4 linked regions of the Schizosaccharomyces pombe genome follow. Changing the gene in region 3 together with the main gene of any one other region gives a genetic interaction. Each region holds a gene or a part of one and is shown on either strand. Other genes may lie near its edges.

Region 1 (7,490 bases), 1.9 Mb from region 3:
ACGTAAGTCCATATCAAATTAGCGATATTACCGAATTCAAATGCCATAAACATCACAAACTAGCAAGCTCTTTCAATTGAAGTCAACTGATGCATCGACTTGAAAATTACTTAGTACTATATGTCAAGAAGCCAAAATTTCTACTTACTATGATAGTAGATCCTTTGTAAAACGTTGCAGAAAGTTTTTCCGGCCGTGAAAATTCGTGTTTTTTTTCTTTTGTTCAAGGGTTTAGGTCACTGAAGCCAACAATTTTTGATACAATATAAGAAAAAGAAGTAATTCCCGCTTTTAACTGCGCAATAGGATAAAAGATTAGCCAGATGTCACAGGGTTAAACTTTTAACCTGACTACCTTTTCACGTGTATTTCCAGTCTCGTTTATAAGCTGCAATATAAATATTGTATGATATTACTGCGTGCACCAAGATTCTCTTATATTATTTTCTTATAATCTACAAAACTCACAATACTACTATAACGATGCTTCAGAAGATTAGCTGTTCCGGTATTGTTGAAGCATGGTGAATTTCCTTTGCGGCTGCTGTTGTAAAATATTGTCTGACAACTATCCAAATAAAACCTATGGGATTTTTGCAAAAGGCAAACACTATTTTCATAGAGGCACCGCGTTGCAGGGATTTTCAGCAGAGATGATTCAATATTGCAATCAAACACAGTAGATATAAACATAACTTGAAAAGCTAATGAAATACATAAAACATAATTATATTAACCATAATATTCTTAACTTATTGGTTTCTTCAACACTTCCAACTTCAATGAAGCAACAAGTTAGAGGTTTAACTTCTCCACAACGCCAAAATTGCGACTTAGATGATAAAAATATTAAAGTCTAGATAGAGCTCAGAAACATCAAAAAAAACTATGGAATATGATGAGGAAGAAGTAAAAGTTTTGAAAGAAGTTTTAAGCGCGTTCTTTTTGTACAGGCAATATGCTCATACAATAACACAACAGAAGAGAAAATCGATGAGCAGGTTGTCTTTTGAACACAAGGACTTACTCTTACAGGACTCTGACAACAATTTTTTAAAGCATCTTTCAAGGATTGATCAATGTATCGAGCAGAACAGCGTGCTTGCTGAAGCAATCGCTAACGCAGCCATTCCTGTGTTCTGCAGTGATTTCGATCAAAATGAGTTATTTCATGTCAATGTTGATATGATGCAAAAAGTTTCAAGCACTCTCAAGCAAATTGCGAGAGATTGGTCGACCGAATGTGTTGAGGAACGCCGTACTACATATGCTCCTTTCATCGAGGAACTAAATTCACTTTTCCCATCTGATTCTATAGACAGATCTAAAATTCGTGTACTTGTTCCAGGTTCCGGCTTAGGAAGATTGGCCTTTGATATAGCTGTGGAAGGTAGGTACACTTGATACTATCAATCAAAAATAGCATGATTTATTATTTATCTGATTACATGTTTTCTAACTTCTTTCTAAATTTGGATTTTTGGACATAGCTTCTAACATTTAATAGGCTTTGCATGCCAAGGAAATGAGTTCTCATATTTTATGCTTTTAACGTCGCATTTCATACTGAATTGCGTAAAGCAGGAAAATCAGTTTCTTGTGTATCCTTATATTCATTCATTTTCGAACCATGTCATGCGTGATGACCAGGTGCGTTCATTAAATATTCCTGATGCAGTTCCCTCTCAATATCTGCGGAATTCACAAAACTTTTCAATGGCAGCCGGGGATTTCCTGGAGGTATACGGCACCGAAGAAAGTCGTGATTCGTTTCAAGTAGTAGCTACCTGCTTCTTTATAGACACTACAAAAAACATACTGGACTATTTGGATACAATTAAAAACTGTTTGGTAGATGGAGGTTATTGGATAAATCTCGGGCCTTTATTGTATCATTTTGAGTCAGAAGGTACTTCTAATTCTAACAGTGATAGCCAGCAACAACCTTTCGTTGAATTGACTCTCGAGCAGCTGTTTTACGTGATGGATAGTATGGGATTTGAGGTTTTAAAGCACAATTCGGTCGACACGACTTATATGGGGGACAAACGAAGTATGCTTGAATGGATATACCATCCTCATTATTGGGTCTGCCGTTTGCAAAAATCAAAATTACGATTTCAATAAAAATTTTTGAACCAACATTGAATATTACGACTTTAATCATTCAAATATTCCTTTAGCATAATTAACAAAGCTAATTGATAACTTGTACATGAAAGTAAAGCGATTATTTTTGCATCTACTATCTACGTATAAAACTGCCTACATTAAATAAGCCATTCGTACGCTTCAAAAACTTTATAAGCCGCATTTGAAATAAAGGAAACGGAAAAACATAAAGGCTTTGAAATACAGTATGAGCCAAATTATTAATTAATAGACTCACAAAGCTTTGTTCATAAAACGTCTCTTGCTGAAGCAAGTCCACCACTTGCTGGGATGATCCTTTTCAGTTGCATATACATGGGACAAAAGACGATAAGCAAGTTCCTGACGAAATTGAGTAAGATATGTACGCATTATTTCTTTTTTTAATAGTTAGCAAATGAAAAAAAAAGCAAGAAAGCTATTAGCGGCACAAACATCTATATGTCTAATGCCACAGTTTGGGTGAATCTTACCAGCATCTTGAGGAGAAAGGGGAGGAGCATATAATGCATTCAAGGGAAAGCCAGCAGAGCCAGGAATAGAAAAATTCTCCAACGCTAAACTATTAAGTTGACGTTCAGCATCACGATAATTGAGTCCATTAACTCTTCCCAAGCACTCACTGATAAATAATGTTCCATAAATTAAAGTACGGTCTGCTGGTCCCTTAATCTCAAAATTGCGGAAGAAACAATTGGCGCGAAACAGCCCAATGCATTCATCAATAATATCCATTTGACTCTCATCAGCTGTATAAAAAATGTTAGAAAGTACTCTAATAACATTAAGAATAGTCTTTAAACAGAGTTGACAAATATCTGGAACATACCAGGATAAGCCGGTCCACGAAACTTGGTTTTCAACGGCAGCATTGCTATGTTTCCCGTGGTAGGGACGTCCGTAAGACTTAAGAAGGAGGAATGATAGGCCTTTCATAACATGTCAGCAACAAAAATTCAAAACTTTAGAACATACCGGCATATCTAATGTCTAGTGCTTATGATGTTGTTGGATAACTTGAGCACCTGCTGAATGTGCCGATAGGGAGCATTTCGTCAAGCATCAATAGTGATAAATTAGCTTTTCTTTAAACAAAATAGCGAAAAGCTATGTAATTACAGTAAAGCAATATAGCGTGTCGTTTTTTTGTTTTGTGATCGGGTCTCGGTCTCTACTTTATAACTAGTTTTCATCAATGGAAATGACATAGAGCCAATAAATTTGTAGCGAGAACCAAATTCATAAGCATTTGCACGAATGCATTTATTGCTTGAAAAATTATAAAAACGTCAAAAAAAGATTTTCATGTTTGGTTATTTTGATTTTGGGATCTAACGTACTGACTTATATGGGGATAGACGGTCTTTTGGGACCGTAAACATTACTACATCGGAAACAATTCCCCCCTGTTAAATCTTTCTGTGTTGGATATTTTAATACAGTTTAGTAGGTAATCTGTTTTCTCCAGAGTGACGGAATTGAGGATATATCTGAAAGAGCATGGAAAACCCTTCCCCAACTAGAACAACCAATTTGCAACGAATTCGGTCGTTGTACAGGTTACAAGAAGACAAGAATAATTTAAATATACCAGAACCTATTAATGGAAAAGTTCAAGAAATCGATACAAAAGAGTCATTGGAAAATGTGGATCGTTACGGAAACTATCGCTCAGACTTTAATGTTAATAATTTAGGGTTCTATAAAGTTAGTAAAGACCCAACATTAGATAAACCAAACCCTGCCAAACGTCTTGGCAATAAATTAATCGGCCATGATGACATGCTGAAGTACGTTGATGAAAGCATCTTCATGGTTGTTCCCGGCGAGTCGCATGACCGCAACGAAATATCAGCTAAAGAGCTTTCCCGTATTCAAAAATGGAAATCGATGTGTTCAATACACCTCGTTTCCGGTAATCAGCTCCATTCTTTTCGAAAAACTCGTAAGTTAATTTTACGTACATTTAAGGGGATTCCAGATTGTTGGCGATCTATTGCGTGGTGGTCCTTTCTTGTGGATTCTCTTCCTGATAAAAAACTGATTGACAAGTATTACCAATTGAACGAGCAGATTTGTGACTATGATGTTCAAATTGACCTAGATGTTCCCAGAACAGCTGCTACACATTTCTTATTCCGAAAACGCTACATTGGAGGGCAACGTTTACTATTTAGAGTTCTTCATGCTGTAGCTCTCTATATACCTCGTGTTGGATACGTTCAAGGAATGGCTTCTATTGCTGCGACCTTGCTCATTTACTATCCCGAAGAACAAGCATTTATAATGATGGTAAATTTATTGGAAAATAGAGGCATGGGGGACTTGTTTTCTTCCGGGTTTGATACACTTTTAAAGGCTTTTGACATGCTTAAGCATGAGTTAAGTTTTACACAATCAGGCAGACATCTGGCGGAAATTGGAGCAGAACCATCTGCTTTTGCTACACGTTGGTATCTCACTGTTTTTCATCAATGCGTGCCCTTCCATACTCAATTACGTATATGGGATCTCCTGTTTTTATTAGGTGGAAGCAAAGGTCAAACTGTCAGGTTATTGCAAGCCACTTCTCTTGCGGTTATACAAGGAATGTGGGACACGCTAATTGATGCAGACTTTGAAGTAGTAATGCAAGCTCTGTCAGGTGTTATTCCCATTCAAAACGATAACGCCCTGCTTGCTAGAATTCAATTATTTTGGGAAAAAATGCCTTCTGAAAATTCTTCTAAAAGTAAGAGAAACTGATATTTCTAACTCTTTTTTAATAGCTTTATTAATTGTGGCCCACATGATGTAACATATGTCAACAAGATGAGGATTGATATCACAGAGCTTAGCATAATGGGTCCTGAACATTTATCATTTTCTTTTTCTGTTTTAATTTGGAACGTTGATAAACATTATTTCCTTGATACCACAAAACTTTTATTGGTATCAAGAGTATGCGCTTTAAATCGATCCTATCTAACTCTCTCTTCTTACTAATATTATAATTTTAACATCTCACCAAAAGAAATGGAATTTTAACATAAAATTAATTCAAGTATATATATTATAAATACTATACATATATATGTATACATAATACCTCTCCATCTTGCGACTTCCTAGGTGCGTCGTAATTTCTAATTATGTATAGCTTAAATAGTTAAATATTACCAAAACACTGACGACAAATAATAAAATATAAAGAAGGTAGTAAATGGGTTGAAAAATCAAATAAAACAAGGTATGGGGTTACTCTTCCTCGTTCTCTTCTACATTCTCTTCTGAAGAACGAGATTGATGAGAAGACGCAACATCAGCAAACTTAAGGATTTTGTCTTTATACTTGGTGACATCCCCGGAACTGTCTTCTATTATCCAGGACTGGACCTTATCTTCAATCAAGAATCGCTTGGAACTATTTTCATCAAAAATCACTACAACACTGGAATCCTTCAAGTTCACCTCCATCTCGATAAAAAGTCTCTCATGTTTTCCTTTACAAACAAAAGCGCATCGACCAACATCAGTTAATAGCATAACCCTTTGCTTTCTTTTCAAAAACATTTTTGAGAGTCCAGATGGAAACTTATTACCCTCAGGTACACTTGGAATGGGTGATACGAAGACCGAGGTAGATTCAATGATCGACTCAGACGATGGAACCAACTTGTAATAAAGTCTGTCAACAGGCATCTGATGGCTTCGAAGTGAAGCATAGCCATAATGAGCAGTTGGAGCAGTGAAACGATTTACCGTAGGAAGCTCCTGACGTCGAGCAGTTTCCTGATGCTTTACAATGGATGCAGAAGCAAATGCCGCGGCAGCATTAGCAGCAGCTGCGGCTGTCACATTTGAGCGATAATAAGCAGGAGCATTAGGAATGGCTATGTTATAATTAGGCCGGAATGACTGCATAGGAGGAGGATCTTGAGTCCATAAATTGTCCCAAGTAATAGTAGCAAAAAAAGGAAATTGTTTTATTTGTTGGGTTGTAGATCGATCAGATGGCTGAATACGGAAAAGATGGCTAAACAAAGGAACGATATCAGGTGGTAAGAGCTTTGGAAGCTCATATTCCAGGCTCATTATCTTTTTGAAAATATTATTAGGATTGCTGCCATGAAAAGGAGGGGAACCAACAATCATTTGATAAACAACACACGCAAAAGCCCATAAATCGGAACTTAAATATTTGTCAGAAAAAAAATAGACTGGGATAATAGGTTTTCTTACGATTTTGAAACAACTTGTCTAGACAATAGTTCAGGAGCAACATATTCCGCAGTGCCAACAAAGGAGCTTGGAAAGGTAGTGTAATCAGGGCTATTTACATATTTAGGGGGTAGGATTTTGGCTGTGCCGAAATCGGTAATTTTTACATGCATATTTCCATCAAATAAAATGCTAAAAAATAGGTTAGAATTAGGAAAAGGAAACGAACATTTAATGACCACTACTCAAACATACTTTTCTGGCTTGAGATCTCTGTGAATTATACCGCAGGAGTGCATATACTCGATACTTGATAAAATCTCAGCAGCATAAAAGCGCACACAATTCTCATCAAGAAAACGATACTACCAAAGCTTAGTTAATAAAGGAAAAATGAATAGACTAATGAAAAAATATACCTTTTTGATGTATTGCAAAAGTTCACCATTGGGTGCAAGTTCAAGCACATAATAAAGTTTTAAATCATCCTGAAATGTATGGAAAAGACGAGAGATACCAGGAAACCCATTAAGTCTCATCATAGAATCTCTCTCTATATTCACATACTTAACCTTATTTTCCTTGACAATATATTTTTTATCAAGGACTTTGATAGCGTACTCCTTCCAACTCTTTTTATCAGTTGCTCTTCTCACCTAACGAATATTAGACAACTTATTCGTCAGTAATCGAAGGTCCATAGGTTAATCGACCTGCGGTTGAAAAACTTCTGAACTGAGAAGCAATGTATCAACTTACCTTTGAGAATGATCCATCTCCTATAATGTCACCAAAAACGTAATCCGCCGGAGATTTGATCGATCCTATATGACTTGTTCCTGGTACTACGTTGGAAGACTGAGGTTTTACCGGATTTCTTTCACCTCTAGCCTCGAAGTAATCGGGATCCGCATAATCCGGCAATGTACTTCGGCTAATGCGTTTATGCTCCAGATCCATCATTTATAAAAGAGGTTTTCATGAAAAATGAAGTTGTGTTTGAGTTACTTTACGTTTGCTGTTCGATTCCAACTGAAACACCGTGCATTTAATTGTGGAGTTGCTGGCCTTGGAGTTGTGTTCTGTGAAGGATGTAAACACTAAGTAGAGTACCCTATTTCTCCAATCCTCGTCATTAT
Region 2 (7,970 bases), on a different chromosome or scaffold from region 3:
AATATATACACGCCATTGTTGTAAATTTTTAGGTAAAATAGATGCGTCCAATGAAGAAGATTCCATATATTGCTCAAGCCTTTCCCCTTCTTTATCAATTATGTTTAGTAAGTATCGTAAAAACGGGTCAAAGCTTTTTTTGCCGGCCTCGATTTCCAATTTGCGAAGAGGAATGGTTTCTCTTGTTTCAGGCTCACGACGCGCCGCTACAAATGGAACTAGCTTGCGAGCTTCTTCTCTGAACTTGTCAGTAAAAAGCCCAATTATTGTTACAATGATTAGATTAAAGCATTCATGTTGCAAATTTCGATTTTCACAAAAATTCATATATAAATGTTCGTACCTCACAGTTGCTAAATAATCTAAACCATCAAGTGGTATATCATATTCCAAAGATTCTGAAGCACTATTGTTGTCGATTTGTGGAAAAGCGCTGCGTTGATTTGTTTCCTCATCTAATGATCCTGAAGTCTGATATTGTAAAGGATTTCTTTTTCTTTTCGAGGGCATTTTGAATTATTATTGTACAATTGCAAACTTCTCATATAAACCAAATGGAAAAGAATTACCGAATTTTCATGAAAATACTCAAGGAATGTAGGCTGTTTTTTTCCGGCAACTTTTCGTTTGTAGTTAGTTAACAAGGAATGTTTCGTAAATCGAAGATTACCCTAGTATAATAGAATGGTAAGGTTAAAGAGGTATCTGTAGAACTATCAATGTGAAGAGTCTATCTTGATCAAGTGTAATGCTAAAACTAATTTTAGCTATTTCTTGATAATTCCTTTACTATCATAAAATTTATTACTTGTTCTTATTTTCAAAGAAGTTCAAAGTTTTGCATTTTTTTGAAGTGTATAAGAAGCTAAAACTGGGAGAATATTCACTCAGACAGAATTGCCTATCCTTGAACTAATTTAATAAACATAAAACATATAGATATGTAGGAAATTGTACTATTCATTCTTCTGTCAACGCAAGTAACACCATCTGCGGCCACTTAATCAGGCACTTACTCTACACAATATACAGATCAGTGCTTTATCCCCAAATCCCATTGTTCATTGGTGAATTGGTGTTTTGAGCAGCACATATGCCCATTCTAACATGCAGATATAAAATTCTGTTTCTTTATAATTTACGGAATTGCTTTACTTTTCAAAATCAGCGATGTCTCATACCATATGGAACAACCACTACCATTAGGTGGTATAATGCAAATTTTCAAGCTGTTCAAAACAACTTTTCTGATTATAAAAACGAATTGATCTCTTCACATCGTCCAGAAGCTTCCAGTTTACTCGACTTTTTGGTAAAGGATCAAAAGAAAAGTGGTGATATTAGTTTGCATACAAAATTTAATCTATATGTGGACGATTTATTGAAAAAGAGCGAAAAAGGACAAATTAAAAAATTTATTAATGATATTAAAAAAGATTTGGCTACGGAATCTCAGCTTCCATTGTCTGCGCCATTCAAAGATGAATCTACTCGGACTATGACAGATCCCCAAGTTTTAGCTTATATTCATCAGTCTATGCCGTATCAATATGCTTCTCTATACAGCGTATTGACTGACTTGAAAATTGTAAACAGTGATGTGTCTTGCAAGTCTCAACATATACTGGATTGCGGTAAAGGTCCAGGTATTGGTGCTCTAGCTAGTTATTCAGTCTTTCCCACACCTAATTCAGTTTCAATTGTTGAGGAGAACCCATTTTTGAAAAAAATCATATATGATATTCACCATAACATTTACCCGTCAACTTCGCCGAATCCAACTAGCCCTGTTACGCTTAACCGTCTACCATTGGGTAAAAAGGATTCATACACTCTAGTTATTGCATCTAACAAGCTTCTTGAAATGAAATCGGAGAAAGAACTCTTTGATTATCTTCGTTCGCTTTGGAGTCTCGTGTCAAATGATGGTGGTCTTTTGGTGCTCTGCGAGCGAGGCACAAAGCGTGGCTTTAGTTTGATTCAAAGAGCTAGAACATTTCTATTGCAAAAAAGTAAAAATACTTCTGATAAACAATTCAATGCCCATATTGTAGCACCCTGTCCCCACGATGGTCGCTGCCCCATTGATATAGAAAATGGGGTAAGAGCAAATATTTGTTCTTTCAAACAACATTTTTTCCTATCCCCATTTTCCCGTCTATATGTCCCTCGTTCTCATCGTCGATCCTCGGATCGCTCTCATTACAGTTATGTTGTTATTCAAAAGGGTATAACTAGACCGCTTAATAATACCACACAAAGGTTCAAGAATGATGAGGATTTACTAGAAAATGTGAATGTTACATCTCCAACTCTTAAAAACTGGCCACGTATAATTCGACCTCCACTGAAGCGAGATGGACATGTCATAATTGATGTCTGTGATAGCGATGCTCGGCTTAGAAGGAATATTGTTCCTAAATCACAAGGTAAACTAGCTTATCGATTAGCTAGGAAAAGTGCTTGGGGCGACTTGTTTCCGTTAGAGGGCAAAGTTCAAAGTACTTCTCCAAGTAGTAAAATTACTAAACATTTAAAAGATGCTTCTTCTACCTATTCAATCAATCCCCCCTCATATAATAAACCCAAAGTTGAAAGAAATACAACTGCAGATCCTATTTTTGTCGGAAAACGATTCTATTCGACTAATCGTCATAAAGCTTTTTCTCGATTTGCAGACTTTAATTCACATCGTTTCCCTTGTATTTTTACTTCATTTAGCTGTTACAATTGCATCTCTGGTACCAGGAATATTTCACGACAATATTCGAGAGATAAATTCCACTATAATCAAAGGACCACTATCTATTATCTGGTTGCAATTTCCATTTTTGCGTTGGGCTTGACATATGCGGCTGTACCTTTATATCGTCTTTTCTGTTCGAAAACAGGTTATGGTGGCACTCTTAATACCGACCAAAGTCGTATGAATGCAGAAAGAATGGTTCCTCGTAAAGACAATAAAAGAATCAGAGTTACTTTCAATGGCGACGTTGCAGGAAACCTTAGCTGGAAGCTTTGGCCCCAGCAGCGTGAAATATATGTTCTTCCAGGCGAGACTGCTCTAGGGTTTTATACTGCTGAAAATACGTCCGACCATGACATAGTAGGAGTTGCAACTTATAATATAGTACCAGGTCAAGCCGCTGTTTACTTCTCAAAGGTTGCATGCTTTTGCTTTGAAGAGCAAAAGCTAGATGCTCATGAAAAAGTAGACTTGCCTGTGTTTTTCTTTATAGATCCAGAATTTGCTGATGATCCAAATATGAAGGATATTGACGATATTCTTCTAAGCTATACTTTTTTTGAGGCCAGATATGATACCAATGGCAATCTTTTAACTAAACTCAACTGAAATAAAAATTAAGGGACTACATATTGAGTGAACTACAATAATTTATTTAAAATAATTCATCAAGTTAACCTTCTAGTTACGAGACAAATAACAACGAAAATCACTACAAACTTACTAGAATAACTTTCTCCGAGGTTGCAATTCGACATTAAAACTATTGTATTCTCGTAAAAAAAGTTGAAGGCCTTTGAACCAATAGTATATTATTTAAATGACAAAGTCATGAAAGTAACGAAATGAAATAGAGACGGAACAATTTATTTGGCTACCGCCTGTTGAATAGAATTCATCATTTCTTCTTTTATAATAAGCTGTCTTACCTTTTCCAATTTTCCAAGAAGTTCAGTAATATTGGAACCCCACTCATTCAATTGCTCTTGCACATTTTGAGATTTCTTGAATGAAATGACTTGAGCTGGGCGATCAATCTTGGCATAGAAATGATGCTTTGCAATAAGGTCGCAAAGAAATTGTTCTGTTTCGGAAGGACTCATATCCAACAACACTCCTAGACGACTGCAATGAATGCGGGAATAATAGTTTGCGACTACACGAATATTGTGTTCGATGACTCGCTTACGAAGTTCAGACCAACGTTTCTCACCTTTTTCGTCATTTTCAGCAAAAACAGGATTACTCCTTAAAGCACTTCCATAGATTTCGGCAATTTTGGGCCATCTCATTAGTTCATTGACAATAAAGCACTTAACCAATTGTTGGAGTAAAGGAAGAGAATTTAGTTTATGGTCAGCATTAATTCGGTGAAGAAGATCTGCCTGCTCGTTATCATAAGGAGTAAGCAAGGCAAAGCAAACGACATTTTCTAATATTTCTTTCCATTTCTCGGGGTCCTCTTGAACCACGGCGGTGTCATAAACTGCTCGATAATATTTACAAACATCAAGATATGCATCGTCGTGCAAACCAATTCGGATTTTTTGCTCATAATACTTAAGTTTTAAAGACTGGACGTCTTCCTTTTCAAAAAACTTAACATTTATTTTCTTCGTGTAAGTAGATGCCATGTAGTAATCAGACCTCAGTAAGAATAATCTAACTTGATCCAAAATGAATGCAACTTTTTCCTTCAAATCAAAAGATCCGTAAGTCTCTACTGGTTCATTACACAAGATCTCCTGGGCAGATTTGATGTCACCTTGCTCTTCTTTAATCTGGGAAAGCAGTTGTGTAAGACGTGCCCTTTCTACTTCCACATATATCTTTCCATCAGTAATAGTACGCAATGTTTCAATCAAATTAATTTTTGTTTTTAAATCGTCAATTCCAGGAAGATAGGTCATTACATGTTGGACTAAACTTGTCATCGATTGTTTCAGTTGGCCATGCTTTTTAAAGAGACTAACCAACTGTTCGTTTAAGCCTTGGAAATCACCAGCTCGAAAGAGCAAATCAGCAATGTATATTAATACTTTCGTATTCGTGCTGGTGTCAGAAGCCTGACGAACTTGCTTCTCAAAAATCAAAAGCTTCTCGAGGTTCGCATCCTACAATTACAAGTTAGAGATTAGTCAAAATTTTGATTTTTACGTACGATGTCTATGGTATTAAGGTTATTTAAACTTTTTTGTAACTCTGCAAACTTCTCTGAGTAATCAACTTCCGGTTTCTGTTCCATTTCGATATGTGGGTTGTTGGAGAGTGTACAATTGAGACTAATATTGCGAGTTGATTTCTTATGATTACAGAGTTGTACCGCACGCTCGCAAAATACTTTAGTTGTCAGCAATACTACTCTACGCTATGATACACTACGTTGCGTATCACTATATGTCATATGTTGGAATACTAGCTAAGATCCGTTTATTGATAATCACGGGTAACGATCCGTCTATATACATAGATACCCGTTGATAACGCGAATGAGCCGTTCGGCTTCTTAGTTCGTAGATCCGAGATTTCGAACTGCTTTTAGGCAGTAAATGATAGCTTTTCCATCTAACTGACTCTAAAATCACACTCCCTTGTTACTGGACCCACATTAGCGATAGCGGATACAAAAATGCAGGGAATTGAAAGACCGAGTTCGTGGCCTATTGAGAGAAAATGGAACTTCCCTTCCCAAAAGCACCTTTGACCTGCAGAAAAATTAGGCCAATTATTATGATGCCAAGTCTGGAAAAACACCACAGGTTCGGTATATTATTATTGTCAATATTGTTATACTGAGTTAGTTTTTTTTTTTTTTTTTTTTTTTTTTTTTTTTTTTAATACCAAAGTTTCGTATGCCTATAGCATTAATCTAGATCTAGCTTGCGTCATATAAGGACCAGATTTACTCTTGACCGACTTCATAGCAGCATAATTAGCATCTCCTCGGCATAAAAGAAAAAATTTTGCTATCTCCACTCTCACAAGGTTAGCGAAGGTTTGTGCATTTGACAGCAGGTTGGTTAAATTCGTTAAGCTTCCAAGAGATATAAATATAGTGGCTCGAATTTGACTTATCCAGTCAGTCATTCATTGCTGAAGTTGTTGGGTTGGCCAGGTCCATCGGTAAGTTTTTGTTTTGTAGGATGACTGTATAGTTTGGCTTTTTGTTGTGTAGTGCCAGTTTGTTTGCGATGAGGATCAACGTTGCAATCTGTTGGTAGAAAGTTGCCCCTCGAAAATCTTGGAAATTTGGATTTGTATGCATCTTTTCTTGTTGATTTCTAAGTTGATCACTATTTGTTTGTTCTATTTTTGTTTTCTTTTACTTGTTTGCTACACAAAATAAGCTTATTTGTTGCTGCACTAGACTTTTTGTTTGATTTCTCATCCTACTTCTGTATCGGCAGTTTGCCTCATTTACTAAGACTAGCAACAGCCAGTCATTCATTTTTTACACTCTCTATCATTTTTTATTTTCATCACGATAACTAACATGTGCGATTAGACTCACAGATAAATTGCTAGCAATTGGTTGTCTCTTTCCTTCCTCCGTCTTTTCCTTTTTGTTCCTTTTTCTCCTTATATTATATTATATTATATTCATTCTTCATTTTCTCTCTTGGCCACTATTTTTTTTTTTAATTCCCCTTTATCTCTCGATTCGACATGGGTGAACTCAAGGAAATCTTGAAACAGAGGTATCATGAGTTGCTTGACTGGAATGTCAAAGCCCCTCATGTCCCTCTCAGTCAACGACTGAAGCATTTTACATGGTCTTGGTTTGCATGTACTATGGCAACTGGTGGTGTTGGTTTGATTATTGGTTCTTTCCCCTTTCGATTTTATGGTCTTAATACAATTGGCAAAATTGTTTATATTCTTCAAATCTTTTTGTTTTCTCTCTTTGGATCATGCATGCTTTTTCGCTTTATTAAATATCCTTCAACTATCAAGGATTCCTGGAACCATCATTTGGAAAAGCTTTTCATTGCTACTTGTCTTCTTTCAATATCCACGTTCATCGACATGCTTGCCATATACGCCTATCCTGATACCGGCGAGTGGATGGTGTGGGTCATTCGAATCCTTTATTACATTTACGTTGCAGTATCCTTTATATACTGCGTAATGGCTTTTTTTACAATTTTCAACAACCATGTATATACCATTGAAACCGCATCTCCTGCTTGGATTCTTCCTATTTTCCCTCCTATGATTTGTGGTGTCATTGCTGGCGCCGTCAATTCTACACAACCCGCTCATCAATTAAAAAATATGGTTATCTTTGGTATCCTCTTTCAAGGACTTGGTTTTTGGGTTTATCTTTTACTGTTTGCCGTCAATGTCTTACGGTTTTTTACTGTAGGCCTGGCAAAACCCCAAGATCGACCTGGTATGTTTATGTTTGTCGGTCCACCAGCTTTCTCAGGTTTGGCCTTAATTAATATTGCGCGTGGTGCTATGGGCAGTCGCCCTTATATTTTTGTTGGCGCCAACTCATCCGAGTATCTTGGTTTTGTTTCTACCTTTATGGCTATTTTTATTTGGGGTCTTGCTGCTTGGTGTTACTGTCTCGCCATGGTTAGCTTTTTAGCGGGCTTTTTCACTCGAGCCCCTCTCAAGTTTGCTTGTGGATGGTTTGCATTCATTTTCCCCAACGTGGGTTTTGTTAATTGTACCATTGAGATAGGTAAAATGATAGATTCCAAAGCTTTCCAAATGTTTGGACATATCATTGGGGTCATTCTTTGTATTCAGTGGATCCTCCTAATGTATTTAATGGTCCGTGCGTTTCTCGTCAATGATCTTTGCTATCCTGGCAAAGACGAAGATGCCCATCCTCCACCAAAACCAAATACAGGTGTCCTTAACCCTACCTTCCCACCTGAAAAAGCACCTGCATCTTTGGAAAAAGTCGATACACATGTCACATCTACTGGTGGTGAATCGGATCCTCCTAGTAGTGAACATGAAAGCGTTTAAGCTTGTATGCTTTTCCTTAATTTTTCTATAAATCTGTGTGCCCTGCTCTTAATACCATTATAGATTAATCATTTTGAATCATTCTGTATCTTTATTGTACTACTGGTACTAATTTTGCTTAGACATTTTTGCTCCTTCTTCTTCTTTTTGTTTAAATTATACATACCAAAATTTTGGACTTTGAATAATGGTAATTTTTGGTTGTCGTAGTGTTAAATATGTATGCGTCTTGCATATGAAT
Region 3 (7,979 bases):
ACCTCCTGAGGATTCTGAGGATGGAATCAGTGAGATGAATGAGGATCCCAGTGAATCTGGAGAAATGATTGAGCAAGTCATATCTAGCACAATGAATGATGTCCTTCGTATTTTGGACAGACTTCCTCGTGTACAAGCTAACGAAAGCGTTTATGCGTATAATCGCTTAAAATCTGAGCTAACGGACTTCCTCACTCCATTTGCTCGTGAAAATAGGGTTGTCACCAAGGAAGATATATCAAATTTTTTCTTGGAGCGATCTCGAATCAGTAAAAATTTACGGTAGCGTTAATAACTTTTTTGAATTCCCTTCTTTTTTGGCGTATAATTTAACGTCAAAACATGTAGGTTATACTTAATCTGGTGATGCTTTTTGTGAAACGCTGTTTATACTGGTGAAACCAGAGATATTTTCTATGTGCTTATGGTTAAACGTAATCATTTCTCTATCAAAAATGGTTTAATTGATTTTCTTAACAGAGATGGTTAATTTGAGAGGCTTACTGGGGCTTGTTGGTATACATGATTTTAATGATGATGACAAATTTGTATGTATATTTGAACAATAATTAATATATTGAACTTCTAGCTTTCTTGTCTCTCCTATTTTAACTGCACTCATTAAAATTTTTAAACCTATCTATAGTTTTGGTGGTTGCGTCTTTTATCTTTTATTTTTGATTGAGAAAGCTAAAGAGAAACCCTGTCTGGGTATTTTTTTTTTGTTATATCTCATAATGACTTTCATTTTAATTTTTTCCTAACAGTTTTTTAAGATTGAATTAACTTTATATTTTATTGTTTTCTTTTCATAAACAAAACTAATTTTCAAATAGTGTCGTTTCGTTAATATTCAGTAATTCATATTTTATATGAGCTTTGCGATGATGTTCAAGCATTGAGACCTTAGTTGACAGCAGCTCTTATCCAGCATCATCAACCACTTCCTAGCCGCCATGTCTCAAATGTCTTCAGCTTCTGTTAAATTCCCGGATTCAGTTCCCGGAGTCGATTATCCAAAACAGCTGCAACTGAAATATTTACAAGTCATATTTCGACATGGTGAACGTGCTCCCGTGAAGGAAAGACTTGGTTCCGCCGGTATCCCTAAGGATTGGAAGCTTTGTAATAATGCAAGGAGGTTTTTTGCGCAAATTAAAGGGGAAAAGGAATGGTCTGTGTTGGGTTTTGAAAGGAAGGTTGAGTCACCAGTTGACACGTCTCTTGCAGCACCAACTTCAGACAATTCCCCAAGTGGTGTTTGCATTCATGGTGAATTGACTGATTTTGGGCGTGTTACTACCAGAACACTTGGTGAGTATCTTCGAGAACGTTATGTCAAACAATTGAAATTCTTACCTGATGAATTGAATAACTACGCTGATGTTTATATGCGTGCGACTCCAATGGTGCGAGCCTTGGAGTCTTTAGAACATGTTTTTTCCGGATTGTATCCTGAGTCAAAGCGTAAGATGGGTTTACCTGTCATTTTTACGAGAAATTGGTCAGACGAAAACCTACTTCCTAATGAAAACAACTGTCCTCGACTTGTGCAACTATATGAAGAATTTGCAGAACGAGCTGCTAAGCTTTACGATCCCTTACTTGCAGGCCGTGCCTCTGAAATGATGAGTCAATTCATGAATGGTCAGCCTGTTAGAGTTGTTTCAAGCCATCCTCGTCTCAGTGGTTTGCTTGATACTATTAACGCTGCCATTGGTAGCCATGTCGACTTCAATCCCAACCTAAGAGATGAACAATGGTTACGCGATGCCGAAACTGCTGTTGTAGAAGAATGGTTTGGCGGTTATAAGGTTTCTAAGTTGATGCGTCAATTAGGTGCTGGAAGCTTGTTAAATGATTTAAGCATGAGAATGGAGAACTTCGTGGTCGCTGAAAAGAATGGTTCACCCTATCATCGTTTGGCCCTCTATGGCGCACATGATGTTACAATAGCTGCCATTTTAGCATCTTTGGACGCATTTGACTATCGCTGGCCACCCTTTACATCACATCTTGAAATGGAACTATTCGAAGATACATCAAGCAAATCCGATTCCCAAAATCAAAGCGGCGATAATAAGACGACAGATTTGAAGTTGTTTTCCGATGAGTCTACAGATGCCAGCAATAGTGCTATCGTTGCTGCGTCTAATTCTGCTAGAGATATGTCTGATTGGTATGTCCGAATTACCTACAATTCAACCCCTGTAGTGATGGGTGCATGTCGAGGTCAAGGATACAAAGGCAATGATACGATCTGTCCTCTTTCTATATTTAAGGATACAGTCCGTGCATTAAAGCCTGTTGAATATCACACTATGTGTAAACCGGTGAAAAAGTAATTATTTGATTGATTAGTTTACGTCTTTTGTGTATTATAAAGGCGTTTTGTTGCACACGTTAGAATTAAATTTCTTAATATAATCAGAAAACTGTGTCACTGAAATTGTGAATGCGATCGATTGAAGAAAATAAAAAAAAAGAGGTATCGGAGAGGTATTTTCTATGGACACGTTTTGTTTGCTTTGCTTATTTTACGCTCTTTTTTTTAAAAAATCCAAAATTTAAACCGACAAGGAATGCACGAAGTTAATAAAATACGTATGATGATATAATAAATTTTATGGACATCTATAGTTACTCTATAAAACTTAATGATAACTTAATAATCATGCATACAATACTTCTCTACAGGATTAAATAATAATAGTGAAGATGGAAATACAGATATTCGTAGAAACTAAACAGGAACTGGAAATTATTTAGTCAATGGCAAGTATGGATAAAAAGAAGTATTGCCATTATGCGAGTAAAACTAGTCATAACCAAAGTTGGACTTAGATATAAAGACCACCAGCAGGTCCACCTTCGTCCTTCGTTTTTAAAACCTTTTCACGAGCTTGCCGAAAGTCGTCCATAACAACTCGCATTCGGCGTTCACGCAGAGCAAGCAAACCAGCTTCAGAAACGATTGCTTTAATTTCTGCACCAGATAAATCATCTTTGCATTGAATTAACTCTTCTAAATTAACATCCTCGCCCAAATTCATCTTGGAAGTGTGAATGGTAAAAATTTTACGTTTCGTAGCTTCATCAGGATTCTCGAAAAGAATTTTGCGGTCAATACGACCTGGACGAATAAGAGCCGGATCAAGATCGCTGATACGGTTAGTAGCCATAATAACCTTAATATCACGCTGACTCGTATCGAATCCATCCAACTGATTGAGTAACTCAAGCATAGTACGTTGAATTTCTCGTTCAGCACCCGACTGGGCATCGTAACGCTTTGTACCTATAGCATCAATTTCATCAATAAAAACAATAGAGGGCGAATGTTCTTCGGCAGCATTAAATAATTGTCTCACAAGACGGGGACCATCACCTAAATATTTTTGAATAAGTTCAGAACCAACGACACGCAAGAACGTAGCAGAAGTTTGATTAGCAACAGCTTTCGCTAGTAAAGTTTTACCAGTACCGGGAGCACCATATAAAATGACACCTTTAGGGGGTTTTATGCCCATTTCCTCATAGAGTTCAGGATGGGTAAGAGGAAGCTCTACAGCCTCTTTGATCTCTTGAATTTGAGATTCAAGACCACCAATATCGGCATAACTTTCTGTAGGTGCTTTGTCGAGTTTCATAACATTAATCATTGGATCGGTATCATCAAGAAGTAAGCCTACTATACTCATGGCTTTGTGATGGAGAAGTACACTGCAACCAGGCTCTAACATGTCTTTATCGACAAATGACATGATGGAAACATAGTACTCTGGTCCAGCTGTGGAAACGATGGCATGATCGTCGTCTATAATTTCCTCTAAAGTTCCTACAGACATTGGAGTACCACGAATTTCATCTACACGATTGCGTTCTTCCTGAGTTCGTTCATCCTGTGGCTTAAGACGTTCCTGGTTTTGCACATACTCTTCTTCCATAAGCAAATGATCGTGGATTCTTTGCATTTTTAACAACCTTAAACGACAACGAGTCGTTGGGATAACAGTAGGTAGTTTTGCCGATGCATCAGGACCACTTTGAGCCTTCTTCTTACGACGACCAGTTCGAGTGGGAACTGGAGGTTCGTATTTGGGCTTATCTTTCTTTTGGTCTTTTTTATTGTCGCCGTTGGCACCATCGCCGAAATTAGAAAAATTCCCAGATTGTGCTTGTCCCTATAGGAGAGTTAGGATTAAATATTAAAACATGAAAAGAATGTGATAGAGTGAAAACAAGACTATTCAGCGATAGATGAAAAAATTACATTTAATTCAGTCTTGTTTTCAGCCTCAAAATACTCAAATACTTACCATTTTTTGGATCGATACTCTCAGTGAAAGTGATCTGGTATTGGTAATATCTAGCTTCACTCGTTTTCCACCACGACACTATGCAAGCAACCGGTGGCTCAAGGCACTCTAACATATTGCGTAACATAGTATTGCGATATTGTAATTTTTGAATAGTGTATGGTAAAAACACATCCTAATTTTCTTGAGTTGTTTACATTTCGAACACGAAAATGTATCTACTGTTACCAACGCGTGAATCAACCATTCCATTTCAAGAGACCTCACTTTAAGTAAATTTTCCTCAATATAAAGTGTTGTAGAAGTAATAATGGTTTAAAAAAGGTTAAACAATTGCCATCGATTTTTATTAAAAGGAGTACGGATCTCTTTTCGTGCATTCGTCGTGTTTCTTGTTAGAACATAGACTTTGCTAAAGTGATTTAACCTTGCATCTATCTTTTACTTAGGAATCATTGCTAAAGAATATTTATCCCAATTCAAACAACACACATTCCTCTCAAAATTACATAGCATAAAATTATATAAGCTATAAAGTATTTTACTAGGTGTCTACGGCCATACCTAGGCGAAAACACCAGTTCCCGTCCGATCACTGCAGTTAAGCGTCTGAGGGCCTCGTTAGTACTATGGTTGGAGACAACATGGGAATCCGGGGTGCTGTAGGCTTCATTTCGTTTTTTTTCTTAATAAAAGTCCTCCATATGAATAGAATTATTGTTCTATAACTTACTTCTGCAACCTTTTACAGCAACAACAGTGAAAGCTATAGAAGCAGCTACTAAAGACAGTCTGATGACTTAAACAGTGTTCGAAGGTCTAAATTGACTTATTCAAGTTATGATTATTGAATGACTTCTTGTTATTGAAAAATATTTTCTACAAGTCTAACAGCTATTTTACAATTTTTATTGTTGTTAATGTTAATTTATTAACTACCTTAATTACTTACGATAAATATTGGTAATTAACGAGTTACTGTTTACTAGTTGCTAAACTACGTTGCGATTACAAAACTATAGCTTTCGCTATGCTACTTTAATGTTTTTTCGGAACAGCTCTACAAGTGAACGATAACGAAAGAAACAATAAACGTCGTTATCTAATTTTGACATCTTACAGCTTCGGATTATGTTATCGATCGGTAAGCAGATACATTGAACCACGTGGTTTTCTCATGATAAGAACGTATATATATTAGCAGGATTCGATTGATTGCGAGCCTGTGAAGAGCCTTTAACCAATCTCCCAGAAATAACTTTGGGAAGAATATTGATTTCGACGATGTTGGCCAGGAATTTGCGTTGTTTGCATCCAAATACATTTGCATCGTTAAAAACCAACGTTTCCTACCATGGAGTAAAATGCTTGGCAAGTCAGAGCAAGCGTGGATTCAAGGTTTGGGCAGATGTACCTATGGGACCACCGGATCCCATCTTTGGTATTACAGAGGCCTATAAAAAGGATGGAGATGTTAAGAAAATGAACTTGGGTGCTGGTACATATCGTGATGATGCCGGAAAGCCTTATGTTCTGCCCAGTGTTCGTCAGGCAGAAACTGAGCTGTTGAGTCAGAAACTCGACAAAGAATATGCACCCATCACAGGAATTCCCAGTTTCCGTGTGCAAGCAACAAAATTGGCTTATGGCGATGTTTACGAGTCTATAAAGGATAGGCTGGTTTCTGCTCAATCCATTAGTGGTACCGGTGCCTTGTGTATAGCAGCTAATTTCCTTGCTTCATTTTATCCATCAAAGACTATTTACGTATCTGACCCTACTTGGGGAAATCACAAGAATGTATTTTCTCGAGCTGGCTTGACCGTTAAGTCCTACAAGTATTATGATCCTGCTACTCGTGGGTTGGACATTAAAGGCATGTTGTCCGATTTAACTTCAGCTCCTGATGGCTCTATTATATTATTGCATGCTTGTGCTCACAATCCAACTGGTGTAGATCCTACGAAAGCTCAGTGGGATGATATCCTCAAAACAATGCAAAAGAAAAACCATTTTGCTCTTTTAGACATGGCTTACCAAGGATTTGCCAGTGGTGATTTTGCTCGTGATGCTTATGCCACTCGTCTGTTCGCCTCCAGCAATGTCCCCATGTTACTCTGCCAATCCTTTGCTAAAAACATGGGTCTATATGGTGAACGTGCTGGCTGCTTTAGCATTTTAGCCAACGATGCTGAGGAAGCCGCTCGTATCGAAAGCCAAACTAAGATTCTCATTCGTGCTTTGTATTCCAACCCTCCCGTCAATGGGGCCAGAATTGCCAACCATATATTGAGCAACCCTGCACTTCGTGAACAGTGGGCTGGTGAAGTTGTAGGCATGTCCGAACGTCTTAAGAGTATGCGTAAGGCTCTTCGCAACATCCTTGAAAAGGACCTTAAGAATAAACACAGCTGGAAGCATATCACTGACCAAATTGGTATGTTTTGTTATACTGGTTTAAATCCCCAGCAAGTTGATGTTTTGGCTAAACAGTATCACATTTACCTCACTAAGAATGGTCGTATTAGCATCTCCGGTCTCAACACTTCCAATGTAAGATACTTTGCCGAAGCTATCAATGCCGTTACTTCGAATTAGTCGGTGGTGAAATTGAAGTGAAAAGATTTTGGTTTATTATATAGACAGATGGATTTTTGATTGATTCTTTGTTCTGAATCTTTTTTGTTCTTCTTTCTGTTTTTATTTTATTATACATACATATAGACAGACTCAAACACACATATACATATACATATATTTGTATACATTTAATTTTTTTTCCCTTTTCATTTCTCCGAAACCATGAGAAGACGTATTTAGTAACCTAATTGTCTCGGCTTATTTTTTTTTCCTTATACTTTCGCTTTGAGGTGAATAACTACAGTTTTGCTTCCAAATAGATGGCATGGTCTGTTTTTAAATGAATGGATTTTGGATCTAAAAATTGACTAAATATTGATTCGTTTTCGAAATAGTATGCTTTTCGTTTGTCTATCTTCATTTATTTCCATACTTTGTTTCTGTAGATGTTTGTCTAGTAGTTCACTTACTTCATACTTTAGATTGCCTCTAGTTAACCCAAAATTTGGCACATTTTACTATCCTCTCTCATATACATATTAAATCCCACTTTTTCGTTGGAAAACTATCAATTATCTTTCCCATTGCATTTGTCATATGTTGGGATTTCCCAAGTTCATCAAACTTCTGAGATGTACGAAATAAGTGAGGTAGGAATGAAATTTGTGCAAAGCTTTTAATTATTTCTAAAAATAGGAGAATATCGCTGGAAATTGGCACCTTTCCAATGACTAGGATAGGCCCTATGTAGTGATATCGAAATAAATATCTGCAAAAAGAGTATCATTCTTCCCTCCCAATGTGCAATGCTACAGCCATCAGGAATTGCTGCGCTTATTAGGAAATGGCCGAAAATGCCAAAGATGGTGGGAAACTGTTCTTCCATCTCCAGTTCGTCTTTTTTTTCTACACTGACTGATATGGAGGAATCATTGAAATTCGGGGTATAGTGAGACGTAGCGTCATTATATTAATATACTTTATCGTTTTGGGTGGTTGTGTATCGGTACATTTGACTGCTTTATTACGTTGCATGGCGTCACTCCCAAGTGTGAGTTTTGCAAACAATTCTTTCGCGGC
Region 4 (8,089 bases), on a different chromosome or scaffold from region 3:
TTCCTTCAAATTTTAATATAAGTTTTGGCAAACACTTGGAACAAGCGAAATCTCTGTTTAAATCCAAATTTGGTAATTCCTCTTCAACATATAATGAACGTGATTCTATAATGCCATTGCTAAAGCTACAGTCAAACCTTACAGAGGCAAAGACACTTCTTTATCAAAATCCAATTAGCCCTGAAGATGTTTTATTACATTTTTGGGATAGAAATTTAATGAGTACTTATGATCTTAAAATACAGGATATAAATGATTCTGTTAACCCTCTACTGAACACTTACCTAGATTTTATTGAAAAAGACATATACCTAGTGTCGCATCTGCCTGTTTCCGAAAAACACCCTGGGAACATCCCGATTTCATTAGTCAATAAGAGTGTTCAAGCCATTTGTTCTTTTGCCGAACATTACAATTTATTGCGAAATCCTTCGTATCGGGGCTTTCTGAGAATTAACAATGGAGAGTCTATTTTTAATTTACTTTGCATTGAAGATTTACACGAAAGTGTCAATCTTGATATTCTTTGTTTGAAAGATATATTACGGAACATTGCTCAAAGCTCTAAAGAAGCTATGTATATTGTAAAGCGACACAACTCATCACAGTCTTTTTATGGCAATAGATCGACCACCAATTTTTCAATCATAAACTCCGGTTTATATTTAAAAAAAGATGCTGCTAAAAATCTTTTGGCGAAGCAGTTTGATGCCACATATTCTTATTATCATAAAGACCTTGAGGAATCTGTTCATCAAAAACTCAATTCAAACTTAGAAAAAAGAGTTGAAAAATACATAAAACATTCTTGTTCCCAGAGAAATGTTGCTGATCACCCGGACTTTGCCTTGAAAGTTGTTGGTGCTGTCGTGGACTACGGATGGACATTTCCTAAGCCTAAATTTTCTGACATTTTAAGGGATTACTGGGGAAAAAAAGCAAATCTACCGACGGCTTTACTTGACACAAGCATCAATAGTAATTGGTGTAATTACGAAGATACTGTACAGGTTTCTGTGCGTTTAAATCGACCAATGTACGTGCGACATATTTCACTAATTTTTCCAATACATGGTGATGATTCTTATTTCCCGCGTGAAATCCAAATGTTTGGGCTTATCAATGATATCAATTATCAAATTTTAAGCAACATGAACAACTTGGTTTTGCTTGCCACGATTCCTGTTTCTTTGTCTTCGGTGTTCGAAGTAAATTATTACTATCTTCCAAAATTCTCGGACACACCTGGCCTTCTGGAAGAAGCTTATTTTAACACATTTGTGTTCAGGGCGTTTTCAAAAAATGAATCTTTGACGTCGCAAATTTGTTTATACCACATTGGTATACATGGTAAGGAGATTAATGAAGAATTTTAACGTCTTATTTAAATACGACTAAGTAGTCTAAGAGCCACTTTCATCTATTACTTTTGTATGGATATTTCTTGTCAATGAAAAAAATATATAAATTTAGCATATTAATTAATCTATGATGTATAGGAATATGCTTAGTTGGTGCTATGAAATAGTTTCAAAAATTTGCACGTCCTCGGGATTTTATTCACAAGGTAGTTTTAATTCACTGGAAAATTTAGGTCTTAAATAAACGAATAGTATACGCGTAATAGGATTCCCAACTATTAACCCGTATAGGGAAGCAGATACTGAATGTCGAATTGTAATTGGCGATACTATAATTCTCAAGTATACAGGAACACCTACACTTGGTTAAGATAAAATTTGAATAATGGCTTCAAAATATCAGTCTGTGCAGCCTGGTGGGTAAGTCAAGCATCTTTATGAAGTTACAAGGCTCTATAAATCATTTTCAGCTTTTTAGTATCTTAACTTTCATCTACACAGAATTGAAAAATTAGCAAAGCATACAAAATGAAAGCTAGCAAAGTTTTTTGATGTATCTCAAGGTAATTTTTAGGCTAATCTAAGCTTTAGATCATTAATTATTGCTTGGCGTGCACAAGGTAAAAAAGTATTAATTGTTGGAGGTGGCGTTGTGGCAGCTGGGCGTATATTGCATGTTTTGAATGCGGATGCCCATGTTATCGTTGTAAGTCCAAAAGCTGGTCTTTGTAAAGAAGTGGCTTGGAGAATACAGGAGAAGCAAGTTGAATGGCGAGACAGGGGATTTCTAGTCGAAGATTTGTCTGACGATGTAAACATGGTACTTACAGCCATAGATGATCCCAGCTTGTCTTCCGAAATTTATAAGTTATGCAAAAGCAAAAAAATCCCGGTCAATGCGGCGGATATTCCACCTGAATGTGATTTCTACTTTGGGTCTGAAATCCGTAACGGCCCTCTACAAATTATGGTTAGCACCAATGGTAAAGGTCCAAAACTTGCCAGTTTAATACGAAAAAAAATCGAAAGTTCAATCAATCCAGCTACTGGTATGGCATTGGAAAAAACTGGCCTTTTACGACAAAAATTACGAGACATTGTTCCCGAACCTGAAAACAGTCGCAAAAGAATGAGATGGATGATTGAGATTTGCGAACTGTGGTCTTTGGAGGAACTTGCCATGCTCGACGAAAATCTCATCAACCGACTTTTGGGATACTTCCCAAAAAAAACACCTAGTTATCGAGAAATAACGACTCCAGCCTACAGCAAGATAGACAACTACATATGGTTTGGAGCAATTATAATTTCTGGGGCTGTTCTCCTCAAACATGTTTCAAAAGCTCGTTAAAAGAAGCGTTTGATAAGTTAGTTGCTTTACGGAATATGACAATTACATTACTTTTCACTTTAAAACATTTGAATTTTGAATGGAATTTATTAAAAAACTCTTGTACTCATAGAAGGTTATTTTTCATATAATGCTCCCTAAACGAAAATGATACATCTTTGGAAAAAAGTTCCGTTGTCCATTACTATACTATCAACAGTTTTTTGAATAAAATTAACCTACAATGTATACTTGAAGTCAAAGTAGTTTTTATCGAAGAAGTGCACCCGAACATAACCATCTTCTCCACCACTAGCATAACCGGTTCCTTTGGGATGGACAGCTATTGTGTTGATAGGACCGAAATGACCCTTAACGCGGCCTAACTCTTCTTCTAAAATCGCATGATAAAAACGTGCTTCAAATTTACCCTGTCTAGCAGCAGTAGTAGTAACATCACGGGCTTCTTGACCACCTCCTAAAATAACGAAGTCTTGGACAGGAGTAAAACTAGAAGTATTAAGAGGCGTATCAGTAAGGTATGTTTTGATGACTTCAAAAGAATCAACATCAATAGCTTTAGCAGTCGTATCCTTGCAAGAAGTGATGAAGTAAGTACGATCAGGATAAAACTGAAGATCAGTAATAGTAGAACCAGAATTATGAACTTGTTTAGATTCAACGAATTCTCCGGTTATAGCATCGTATCTGGAAACGGAGCCATCTTCATGACCAGTAAAGAGAAACTTGCTCAAGTAAGACCATCCAGCGACCGTTGCTTTAGATTCACGAGTAGTAATAACGTAAAGGGGGGTTTCAGCAGCGGCATCGCTTTCCGAAATAGGAACACGGAAAACAGTGACGGTACCAGCATAACCCATACGTTCCTCGGTAACAGCAAGAATACGGGTATCATCTTCGTTGAACTCAACACGTTTGACAGCAGTAGGAAATTCCCACTTGTACAACTGCTTTCCTGTTTTAACATCCCAAAGACGCATGGTATTGTCAGCGGCTCCACTAACCATTAAAGTGCTACTTTCTGTTTCAGTTAGTAACCATTGGAAAAGGAACAGATGATCTAGTTGGATTTGAGGCATCAAGAAGAAGGAAAAGGATTTAAAAGAAGTTTAAATGCTTTCCACGAGGAAGTGAAGTGAGGTAAACGTAGCATTAATATAAGTAAAGGAGATGCACCATGCATATTTAACTTTAAGTACTACGCCAACTCAGAATCGTGGATCACGAGTATAACCATCTGCAATCGGACGACTAATAAAAAAAATACATTTATTAGAGTCATGATATGTTTCATTATTCGTGTTTCCTTATACTTCCATAATCCGTATACCTTTAGATGTCTTAATCCAACATACATCACCACCAATTTTCACGTACTATTAATATCACAAGTCCAAATTGCACCAGTATGACCCTCATATGTACCTAGGCGTTCACCATTGTGTGAAAACCAGACATTAATCACTTTATCCTTGGCACATGAGAATAATAAATCACCCTACACACAAAAATTAGTAAATTTTCCACATATAATGGACGGTTATTAAACCTACATCGTGATTATATTTTATTTGAGTCAAAGGACGCTCATGACCCTGTAAAATGATAGGCCTCATCTTTTGAACAGGAAAGTGCTGGTAGAGGGTTTGAGCGAAAAGTCTTTAGTTGTAATATTTTGATTCTAATTAGCGTAACTTAAGGATGGTATTAAAAATAAGGAGGCTTAACGACACTCTTAAATGAACTGGCTTCATTTCTGAGACACTTGCGTTAGACTAGTTAGACCCAAAGGTCGCACGTCTCACTTTGAAAACAGTATTTTGTGGTTTTGTTTGAATTTTGTCTGTCTTACTTATTTGTACAAAAAATAATATTTCTTTCGTGATTTTTAAAAAAAAATACAAAAGCGTTTGGTCTTAAACTAGCGTCTCTTTGTTCCATTCGTTTACGATTGAAAGTATATTTCCTTAGCTAAAAATCCTTTTCTAGCGTGCTTGGTAATTATACTTATAAAACATATCTAGAACCGGATAACCTGAGTGTTTTATAGAAGCGTCAAAAACATCTAATCGTTTTTTGAAAATAATTGTTTATCAAGATAATTATTTCTCTTTGATATTTAGCGTGCATTTATAAAGGAAAAGAAAAGAATTGACAAAATATCTTGACAATATGGGTAATTTATCAGGCTGGTTTATTCACTGTCCTCCATTACAATGGACACTTGATCAATTAGAAACGATGATGATAAATACAATTAAACGTGGCAAAGTACCACAACACATAGCCTTTGTAATGGATGGCAATCGACGGTGGGCTCGTCAAAGAAGGATGGAAACTATCGAGGGTCATAGCTCAGGTTTTGAAGCTTTAAAATCTGTAAGTTTAAAGAACATTAATAGAAGGTTAAACGTACCGTTTCTCCATGTTTTGCGCATTGGTATCCGTCTACGTTCTGCACAATTTGGTACATTAACTAACCCTGCGTAAGCTATTAAAAGTGTGTCTGAAGTTAGGAGTTAAAGAAGTATCGGCTTTCACATTCTCCATTGAAAATTTTAAGCGATCTAAATATGAAGTTGATATGTTAATGGAGATTGCAAAAAACAGCTTAACGCAAATTACTGCTCATGGTGATTTGGTTGATCAGTATGGGATCCGTATTCGCATTGTTGGCGATCTTAGCAGGTTGCAACCTGACGTTTTAGAAACTGCTCTAAAGGCTGTGGAAATTACAAAACATAACACAAAGTATGTGAAATTTTTCAAATTTTTATTTTGCTAATTGACATCTTAGGGCAACATTAAATGTTTGCTTTCCATACACTTCTCGACATGAAATTGCTACTTCTGTGCAATCAATAGTAAAAATGGCAGAAGATGGTACAATCACTCCAGAAGATATAGATGAAGATATATTTGAAAAAAACCTATTGATAAAAGATAGTCTTCCTTTAGACTTGTTGATTCGCACTAGCGGTGTGGAGCGTCTATCTGATTTTATGTTATGGCAGGTAAGTAAAAATTCTCCTAATTTTCTAGTCAAAGATATTCAACTAATTTTATCAGTGTCACAAAAATACGGAGATAAAATTCATCGATTTCTACTGGCCGGATTTTTCTATCTGGAAGTTTTTCCCAATGTTAATTCAATACCAGTTACAAAACCAACCAGCATAATTTATTCAATCCTTCGTTACTTATTTACTTTTGATAGGCTTTGGCTGTTAATTTTACATTGTATACATTTAATATGTGTTAGTAGCTGATGTAAATAGTTAGACACTACTCTAATTATGTCTTCTTAAATATTGTTAAAATGAAACTTTCTACGGTCTTGATCCGGAAAAATTAATAACTTCCAAATATGCTTGATCATCACGCTGCACTGCAGCCACACAACGCATAGCATCAAAATCGACATGCCATATTTTTGTGAGGTCTGTTAATAGAAAACGTAACAGCTTTCCAGTCCTAACATCCCATAACTTTACAGAACCATCATTACCACTAATAATTTTGTGTTCATCTGACACAAAGCTACTAATGTAGCCTGAATTAGACGGCAAAACCATTAATGGTTTCCCAGTATTCAAATCCCATATTCTAATTGTGGAGTCAGCAGAACCTGATATCAACCTATTCTGGAATACATTAAGAAGCGTAACAAAGGCATCATGGCCTTCAAGCACATATTTACAAGTCCCTGTCGATAAATCCCAAACCCTAATGGACTTATCCATGCTACCGCTTATGCAAATATTCCTTTCTGGTTCATATAAAACACTATATATACGAAGACTATGACCCCGCAGATGGTAAAGACATTCCCCTGTTGAAACTCTCCAAATGCGAATTGAAGAATCATAACTCCCACTCACAAGTATATCACCATAGCCGGATATAGTTCGTACAGAGTCTGTATGTCCTATCAAAGTATGTACAAAATACGGGTTCTTCTCCCAACGGTCAATAGAGTTTGTATTATCTGGAAGATAAGGAGGATCCGTGTTTTTTGGAAGCTTCCAAACCCGAAGTGTATGATCCCGAGAGCCGCTGACAATGTACGGTTGATCTGGTTCAACAATTTCAACTCCATGGCGAATAAGACGACTCGGAACTAAGATCTCTAAGCATCTGATGATGGAAATATGTCCCCTAAATATGTGCGTACATTTAGCTTTCTCTATGTTCCAAACGCGAACAGTTTTATCGATCGAACCAGATACAAGTGTATTCTCATGTATTTTGACAGCCCAAACACCTTCTTTATGACCCTCTAATCGAGCTTCTAAAACACCGGTAATAGCATTATGAATTTGAATTGTTCCAGATCCCGAAGTGGTGATTATTCTGTCTTTATGAAGTAGTAAAGAAGTTATCATAAAGTTTGGAACATGAATGGGAAAAGATAGATGACTTGGAGGTATCGAAGGAAATAACCATCGTTTTCTATTGAGAAAATGTCTTTTGAAAATTTCCGGAAAATAGTCATCTGAGATTTGGTCGTTGTGCAAAAAAGGTGGACGATTTAAGTTTGGATTAGCATATTTCCAGTCATTTTCATTGATTTGAAAGCCAAATAAACTAAACATGTGTTTCCAGTATGAAGTATGCACATCAAGTATTCTATTCCAAGTAGGCGAAACAAGACGGCAAGAAAGAAAAGAATGTATATCCAGATTTAATAATATAGACTGAACAATGGAAAAAGGAAGATTTGAAAGTATATCTTTTTTTAGAAGCGGCTCGCATTCATTCAATAATAAACGCATCGATTGCCGATTGCACGAACGGAGTAGTTGAAAAAACGCATAAGATTGAATTCCTTCTGGAAGATCCTCAAAAGTTTGAACAATTGACTGTAAGTTTAAATCTTCAAGATCCTCAGAGATAGGTTTACTACCAGGTGAAACAGTGTTTGATGTGTCGACTTTCGGAGAAGGAGGGAAATTGTCGGAGTTAGATGAAATGCTATTATCTAACTTAATTCGATTGTTTCTATCAATTGATATAATTTTAGGTGGAAGAGAAGAATGAGAATATAGAAAATTCCTTTGAGGAACAAGGGAAATGGAAAAATCGCCAGGAACACTATCTGGCGGTGAGTGGTCTAAGCATTTATAAGAGACATTCTCTATACTTTCATTAAACTTTCGAAGAAAAGAAGGCGTACAAGAATGCTTTAATGGGTACTGATACGAATCAGTGCACGGCAGGGAAGAACTCGTATTGCCATTACAACTATTTGATTCTGAGCGAGGATCCGATGCAATTTGATCATCTTGAGGAAGCAGGTTATCCCCATGAATAAGTGAAGAAGGAAATACTTGAGGATCAAATGATTCTGGAGGTGTAGCAGGGCTGCTGCTATTTA

What was found.
Region 1: of rpt2 (region 3) and arc3, extra expression of one rescues a mutant of the other (dosage rescue), as found in Schizosaccharomyces pombe (one study listed by BioGRID).
Region 2: of rpt2 (region 3) and rpn502, extra expression of one rescues a mutant of the other (dosage rescue), as found in Schizosaccharomyces pombe (one study listed by BioGRID).
Region 4: of rpt2 (region 3) and sum1, extra expression of one rescues a mutant of the other (dosage rescue), as found in Schizosaccharomyces pombe (one study listed by BioGRID).

Annotation. Positions count from the first base shown.
Region 1 is NC_003423.3:3,109,073-3,116,562, forward strand, and holds arc3 (ARP2/3 actin-organizing complex subunit Arc21), read right to left. Parts: upstream 3,166-7,490; 5' UTR 3,133-3,165; coding exon 3,127-3,132; exon of another isoform or gene 3,081-3,126; coding exon 2,981-3,080; exon of another isoform or gene 2,901-2,980; coding exon 2,625-2,900; exon of another isoform or gene 2,529-2,624; coding exon 2,386-2,528; 3' UTR 2,128-2,385; downstream 1-2,127. Other genes in the region: SPOM_SPBC1778.07 (carnosine N-methyltransferase), read left to right, coding at 889-1,390, 1,508-2,127; SPOM_SPBC1778.09 (GTPase-activating protein), read left to right, coding at 3,652-4,896; pdk1 (serine/threonine protein kinase Ppk21/Pdk1), read right to left, coding at 5,389-6,322, 6,373-6,543, 6,607-6,716, 6,771-7,007, 7,111-7,314. UniProt on the Schizosaccharomyces pombe protein: Functions as a component of the Arp2/3 complex which is involved in regulation of actin polymerization and together with an activating nucleation-promoting factor (NPF) mediates the formation of branched actin networks.
Region 2 is NC_003424.3:4,905,885-4,913,854, forward strand, and holds rpn502 (19S proteasome regulatory subunit Rpn502), read right to left. Parts: upstream 4,992-7,970; coding exon 4,908-4,991; intron 4,861-4,907; coding exon 3,613-4,860; 3' UTR 3,483-3,612; downstream 1-3,482. Other genes in the region: yip11 (SMN complex subunit Yip11/Gem2), read right to left, coding at 1-238, 344-510; rsm22-cox11 tandem protein cox1102, read left to right, coding at 1,094-3,355; plasma membrane malate/succinate:proton symporter Mae1, read left to right, coding at 6,413-7,729. UniProt on the Schizosaccharomyces pombe protein: Acts as a regulatory subunit of the 26S proteasome which is involved in the ATP-dependent degradation of ubiquitinated proteins. Required for proper proteasome assembly.
Region 3 is NC_003423.3:1,195,058-1,203,036, forward strand, and holds rpt2 (19S proteasome base subcomplex ATPase subunit Rpt2), read right to left. Parts: upstream 4,372-7,979; 5' UTR 4,323-4,371; coding exon 4,320-4,322; exon of another isoform or gene 4,319-4,319; intron 4,185-4,318; coding exon 2,841-4,184; 3' UTR 2,721-2,840; downstream 1-2,720. Other genes in the region: ubiquitin protein ligase E3 component mlo2, read left to right, coding at 1-286; SPOM_SPBC4.06 (acid phosphatase), read left to right, coding at 957-2,345; aspartate aminotransferase Maa1, read left to right, coding at 5,604-6,917. UniProt on the Schizosaccharomyces pombe protein: The 26S proteasome is involved in the ATP-dependent degradation of ubiquitinated proteins. The regulatory (or ATPase) complex confers ATP dependency and substrate specificity to the 26S complex.
Region 4 is NC_003424.3:5,355,195-5,363,283, reverse strand, and holds sum1 (translation initiation factor eIF3i), read right to left. Parts: upstream 4,361-8,089; 5' UTR 4,329-4,360; coding exon 4,266-4,328; exon of another isoform or gene 4,211-4,265; coding exon 4,090-4,210; exon of another isoform or gene 3,734-4,089; coding exon 2,931-3,733; 3' UTR 2,780-2,930; downstream 1-2,779. Other genes in the region: protein Csi2, read left to right, coding at 1-1,376; met8 (siroheme synthase), read left to right, coding at 1,747-1,781, 1,953-2,712; rer2 (cis-prenyltransferase), read left to right, coding at 4,885-5,091, 5,204-5,463, 5,510-5,726, 5,782-5,892; F-box/WD repeat protein Pop2, read right to left, coding at 6,042-8,089. UniProt on the Schizosaccharomyces pombe protein: Component of the eukaryotic translation initiation factor 3 (eIF-3) complex, which is involved in protein synthesis of a specialized repertoire of mRNAs and, together with other initiation factors, stimulates binding of mRNA and methionyl-tRNAi to the 40S ribosome.